2 linked regions of the Oryctolagus cuniculus genome follow. The protein of the gene in region 1 binds, or shares a complex with, the protein of each later gene. Links are inferred from orthologs where the notes say so. Each region holds a gene or a part of one and is shown on either strand. Other genes may lie near its edges. The genes, in order: TUBGCP5 and TUBG2.

Region 1 (3,820 bases):
TATGGCCTGAGAAAGCAGCAGAAGATAACCCAAGTACTTGGGCCCCTGTGGCCATATGGGGAGTAAACCACTGTTACTATTTCAAATAAATACACAAATCTTAAAAAAAAAAAAGTTCTCATCTTGAGCATTCTTTTTTTTTTTAAAAAAAGATTTTATTTATTTATTTGAGAGGTAGAATTATAAACAGTGAGAGGGAGAGACAGAGAGAAAGGTCTTCCCTCTGTTGGTTTACTCCCCAGATGGTTGCAACAGCCAGAGCTGAGCCAATCTGAAGCCAGGAGCCAGGTGCTTCCTCCAGGTCTCCCATGCAGGTGCAGGGGCCCAAGGACTTGGGCCATCCTCTACTGTCTTCCCAGGCCATAGCAGAGAGCTGGATCAGAAGAGGGGCAACCGGGACTAGAACCGGCGCCCAAATGGGATGCTGGCGCCACAAGTGGAGGATTAACCTACTGTGCCATGGCGCTAGCCCCTTGAGCATTCTTGTTAAAAAACCATATTTATATATTTGGAAGGCAGCCGAGAGACAGAGAGAGAGAAAAAGACAAAACACAGAAAGATCTTCCTTTTGCTGGTTCACCCCCAAGTGCCTGTACTTGCTGGAGTCAGGCAGGCCACAGTCAAGAGCATGGGGCTCAATGCGGGTCTCCCACACTGAGGGCAGAGACTCAAGCACTCGAGTCATTACCTGCTGGCTCCCTGGAACACACGTGTTAGCAGGAAGCTGGAACTGGGAGTGGAGTCGGACTCAAATCCAGGCACTCTGATATGGGATGAGGGCATCCCAAGTAGCGTCTTAATCTCTGTGCCAAATACCAGATCTTCTACGTCCCATCTCCACCATCTACATGAATCTATGAGTTCCTGTGCACTTATTTTTTTTTTTTCTCTTTTTCTTTTTCTTTTTTGACAGGCAGAGTGAACAGTGAGACAGAGAGACAGAGAGAAAGGTCTTCCTTTGCCGTTGGTTCACCCTCCAATGGCCGCCACGGCCGGCGCACCGCGCTGATCCAATGGCAGGAGCCAGGTGCTTCTCCTGTCTCCCATGGGGTGCAGGGCCCAAGCACTTGGGTCATCCTCCACTGCACTCCCTGGCCACAGCAGAGAGCTGGCCTGGAGGAGGGGCAACCGGGACAGAAACCGGCGCCCCGACCGGGACTAGAACCTCGTGTGCCGGCGCCGCAAGGCAGAGGATTAGCCTAGTGAGCCACGGCGCCAGCCCCTGTGCACTTCTATAAATGCAAAAAGTACTTTGCTATGAACAACTGTTGGATACAGAACTGAGGTAGAGGCAGACACAAACCCTGGTCATGATGTAGTTGTGTAAGCTGTTCACAAAATGCATAAGCTTCACTCTCAGGAGGAACATGCGGTGGATCTGCTGCCTCACTGGCGGCTCCTTCTGCGGTCCAAACGGTGCAGCTGTGTCTTGTTCACCCAGAAGGCCTTCCTGGAGCGGCGGTTTTTGAGCAGCACTAGCCAACTCTGTAGGAGATTGAAAAAAGTGGTAGAGAGAGCACGGCCTCGAGCCCGGCTGCCTGCTGCACATGGTGGGAATTCTGGGGGCCAGGCTTTGGCACTACGTCAAGGACTGACCTCAGCGCCTTGGGAAAAGGGAGCATGAAGGACCCATGTCACCTTTGGAATCACTCTCGTGAAAAATATGAGTCAGGAGTTCTATACACTTACTATATTTTTTGAATAACCTAAGTGTTTATTCTGGCTGAATTCTCACTCAAAGCACTGTATTTCAGATTATCCATAAAACATTCCAATATTCCATTCAGATATCAGGTGTTTGCTATAAATTTTGGTATTTGTGTACACATAAAAAATGGTCAAAGACCACCAATCTCTTTTTTTCAGGGCTAAGATTAAATTGCAATTTATCTGTTGAAAACAAATCTTACCACCAAATAGTAAAACATCCAGACTATATTTTGCCCACTTTATTTGCAATAGGAGCAGGAACACCTGATTATAAATTTTTTGACATTCCAAACTTATAACAATGTCCACAGGCCAAGGAACCTATGAAAACAAAACCAGAAAATTAGAAGAGAAAGTAATCCACCATTGTCTGCTTTAGAATAGAAAACAGCATCTGTAAAAGAATTTCAGCACACACCTTGTAGCTCAGGGTCAAACCATCTAAGATATGAACAGGGAGCTTCTTCTTCGTGGTGTCAACGTTTTCAAAAGATATAGACAGACTAAATAAAGAAATTTCAATTTTAGTTTATGATGGCACTATGCTTATATAAAACAGCCTTTTAAAAACAATTAGCTTTTTAACATTTATTTACATAATATTCCAAAAGTATTCTGGATTTCAAAGAATGCTAATTTGTTAACTAAGGTTATGTTTTCTAGCATCTATTTCAGAACAGACATTTGACTTTCAAAATAAGGAAAAATGGCAAAAATTTCAGACAATGGGTTTAGCTATAGAAGACATACTAACAAAGGCAATTCTTAATAAAAAAAAAAAAAGGCAAAGACAGAGAAGAAATAGCAGTAATAGGCTGGGAGCTTAATTCTGATAAAATCAAAGAGGCTCAGCAGACAGAGCCTTCTGCTCGCGTTTGAGGAGGCAGGAGGGAGCCATGCATGTGGTACGTGCAGCAGCTGCCAGAGTCAGACCCAGGTGAGCACAGGGTGTGTGTGTGGGGTGCTGCATCTGTGGCACAAGTGGCACACTTTGTTTTCCCCCATGCATTCCTGAAGCAAGTCTGAATATGATTCTCAAAAGGAGAGTACCTAACACAGCACATGGGGTGTCCATGCACCAGGCACTACTGAGGCACTACTCACGTAATCCTCAAAAAAGCCTCATGGGTGTTACCAAGGGGATTGACTCCCATGGTCATAGAGGTATTAAGAGATGGTGCTGGGGAGCATTCTCCAGGGAGACTTAGCACCAAAGATGTGTGGGAGCTAAGAGAGAAGCACAGACTCCAAGCACACGGTGGGGCCTATAGACCCCAAGAGGCTGGGTGGTTCCATCTGATGGTCTTTTGTTTTGTAGGTGAGGCGCTTGGGTACTCACTGTCTCAACTTTCTAATATATAAAATAATATTAGCAGACCTCAGAGGGCTAGTGTCAAGATTAAGAAGGATAATAAATGTAAAGATTCAGATATTTCCTGGCACATGGTTAATTTTATACTGTTTTAATAAAAAGGCATCTCCTTAATTTTACCGTGAACTATCTTCAGGATAACGTTGTCCTACTGCTTCCTGGAGCTGAACATTAAGAAAAGACACATTCTGCCAGGTTTCCTTTTCTCGTATTTTATCAAAAATCGACGTGTAAAAGTCATACATGGTATCTCCACCTTCCATTAAGAAAAAATTTCTCATAGCCTGTAGGTATTCCACCAGCCTGGATGGAGAGAAGTGACAAAGATGTTTTCAATTCATAAGGCAGGATTCTCCATCAACACCAGGTTTTGTACACTGTCAGTTTTAGTGAAACAAGTGTCTATTCTATATTTATTTATTTATTTTTGACAGGCCGAGTTAGACAGTGAGATAGAGAGAAAGGTCTTCCTTTTCCATTGGTTCACCCCCCAAATGGCTGCCACGGCCGGCGTGCTGCGCCGATCCAAAGCCAGGAGCCAGGTGCTTCCGCCTGGTCTCCCACGCGGGTGCAGGGCCCAAGCAATTGGGCCATCCTCCACTGCCTTCTCGGGCCACAGCAGAGAGCTGAACTGGAAGAGGAGCAACCGGGACAGAATCCGGTGCCCCAACCAGACTAGAACCCGGGGTGTCGGAGCCACAGGTGGAGGATTAGCCAAGTGAGCCGTGGCACCGGCCA
Region 2 (2,519 bases), on another chromosome or scaffold:
TCCCGAATGGAGGAGGGTGGGGCAATGCTGGTCCCCTAGGGCAACAGCGTGGGCACGGGGGAGAGAGAAGACCCCAGAAATCCTCTGTAATTTTGAGAGAAGGGCTGACTCCAGTAAGACAGCTAGACTCAAGGTAAAGGACACCAGTGGAGGCCGGTGCCACGGCTCACTAGGCTAATCCTCCGCCTTGCGGCGCCGGCACACCGGGTTCTAGTCCCGGTCGGGGTGCCGGATTCTGTCCCGGTTGCCCCTCTTCCAGGACAGCTCTCTGCTGTGGCCAGGGAAGGCAGTGGAGGATGGCCCAAGTGCTTGGGCCCTGCACCCCATGGGAGACCAGGAGAAGCACCTGGCTCCTGGCTTCGGATCAGCGCGGTGCGCCGGCCACAGCGCACCAGCCGCGGGGGCCATTGGAGGGTGAACCAACAGCAAAGGAAGACCTTTCTCTCTGTCTCTCTCTCTCACTGTCCACTCTGCCTGTCAAAAAATAAAAATAAATAAATAAAAAAGGACACCAGTGGAAACCCTGGACACAGACCTGGACTAGAGCAGGCAGGGGCCACCTTCCCATCGCGTGCCTGGACACTGGACATCCCTTCACCATCCCCCAGGTTCCGCTCAAGCCCTGCCTATGCTCACAAGCATGCTTTATTACTTTATTAGAGCTGAACAAGCATATCAAGGGTCAGGGCACAGAAGGGAGGAAGTAGGCCAGCTCCTGGGCTGGAGATGACCCAGAGAGGCTGACGGGCAGGGTTGGGTCAGCGGAACCAGGGATGGAGGCTGTGTTTCCCACTCGGGAAGAGGAACAGGAAGGGAAGTCACTGCTCCTGGGTGCCCCAGGAGATGTAGTCCGGCCGGGTGGCTGCGTGGTACTCGTCGATGAGCTCCTGCACAACCTCCCTGGACCTGTCCATCTCGTCGAAGTTGTCCTTGAAGATGTCCTCCTTGCGGAACTGCTCCAGAAAGGCTCCCCGCTTCCACAGCTTGTCGTACTGCTGGCAGGAACTTTCGAAGAGCTGGAAGAAACGGAAAACTCCAGGAGAGGGGCCAGCGTAGGACGGGGAGGGGTTGAGAAGTGACTGGGGGAAGGCAGAGGGTGGAACAGAGGATGGCCAGACTCACGGAGGAGATGCTGGTGTGGTTGGCCATCATGAGCCCGCTGACCCGGTGGGCTGAGGGCAGGTAGGGAGACTTCCTCGACAGGGCCACCTGGATGCTGGCTGGGCCCCAGGGGATGAAGTTGGCCAACTTCCGTTCCCGGATCCTCTGCAGGCTCTTGTGGACCTGGGTGGGCACAGTGGGAGGTGGCAGCCTCTCTGTGCCCCTGCGGCTTCAGGCTAGGAGGAAGGGGCCTCCCCTACCTGGGTGGGGTCCACCTCCCCCTGGATGATGTTGAGGATGGCGATGTAGCAGTGGTTGGTCTGGCGGTCCCGGCCTGTGGACACCATCACGTTCTTGGGCTGCAGCAGCCGCCGCATGACGTCCAGGACCGTGGTCTTCCTCACGCTGGCCACCTGAGGGGTGGGATAGCGGTCACAGGGGCCAGACCAGCACTCGGGGCACCGGGCAGGGATGCAGAGGAGCCAGCACACCCCGGCAGACTTGGAGCAGTGCGGCCTCTCAGGCAGGACCAGCGTCAGCTCACAGACATGTCCTCGTGCAGGAGCCAACAGCGCTCCCCACGCCACGGGGCCTGCAGGAGCCCAGGGCAGAGGGAAGGTGGAGACGAGGCAGCGAGACAGTCCCACGCTCTGCCAGTGCCTGAGTGCAAGGCCTCTGGGGGCTGCAATGGGCAGCTGCCAGGGCAGCGAGGAGAGGAGAGGCCAGGTCAGGGCCAGCTGGCCCGGGACACTGAGGGCTGCTCTTACTGACTGGTCCGTGGTGAGGGGGGTGTAGCCGGTCATGAGGAAGTGGAGCCGGGGCGTGGGGATGAGCGAGGCGATGAGGCCGATGAGGTCGTTGTTCATGTAGCCGGGGTAGCGCAGGGTGGTGGTGCTGGCTGACATGATGGTGGACACCTGGGGACAGGGGTGCTGTGTCATGGGCCTGGCCTGGGTAGGACCCCTCCCCCCTCCCCCGACAGTCCTCCCTCAGGGAGGACTTCCAGTGGGAAGGAGTGCAGAGGTGGGCTCACCAGCTGGTTGATCTGGGAGAAGGATGGGTTCTGGATGTGCAGGCGGTCCGTGGCTATCCGGTTCAGGGCTGTGTTGTCCAGCACCACCTGGAGGGGACAGACAGGGTGGCATAGACATGAAATATTGGCTGAGCACCTGCTAAGCTGTAAAGGCAGTCAGTAGCTTTGCTAGTTTACAAGGAAAGCATTCTTTGGGGGTATTATGAGTCCCTCTGGACAGTGCAGGGCAGTAAACAAATCTGTGAGTGTCCTCTGTGCCACACTTTGTGCCTGGGTCTGGAGTGACCACAGAGTGAAAACGGGCACGGTCTTGCCCTCGCCAGGCCTCCAGCCTAGTTGAGGGAGGCTGACATTGAATACAGAACAGAAAAAAGACGCTGTTAAC

What was found.
Region 2: TUBGCP5 (region 1) and TUBG2 share a complex: the UniProt entries of both Homo sapiens proteins name them as parts of the gamma-tubulin ring complex. The link is inferred for Oryctolagus cuniculus from reciprocal best matches to the Homo sapiens genes TUBGCP5 and TUBG2.

What each region holds. Positions count from the first base shown.
Region 1 is NC_091443.1:17,643,264-17,647,083, forward strand, and holds part of TUBGCP5 (gamma-tubulin complex component 5), read right to left. Parts: intron 3,386-3,820; coding exon 3,203-3,385; intron 2,214-3,202; coding exon 2,129-2,213; intron 2,032-2,128; coding exon 1,911-2,031; intron 1,486-1,910; coding exon 1,304-1,485; intron 1-1,303. UniProt on the Homo sapiens protein: Component of the gamma-tubulin ring complex (gTuRC) which mediates microtubule nucleation.
Region 2 is NC_091448.1:20,228,771-20,231,289, forward strand, and holds the end of TUBG2 (tubulin gamma-2 chain), read right to left. Parts: intron 2,222-2,519; coding exon 2,135-2,221; intron 2,019-2,134; coding exon 1,869-2,018; intron 1,515-1,868; coding exon 1,362-1,514; intron 1,285-1,361; coding exon 1,123-1,284; intron 1,017-1,122; coding exon 819-1,016; 3' UTR 640-818; downstream 1-639. UniProt on the Homo sapiens protein: Tubulin is the major constituent of microtubules, protein filaments consisting of alpha- and beta-tubulin heterodimers. Gamma-tubulin is a key component of the gamma-tubulin ring complex (gTuRC) which mediates microtubule nucleation.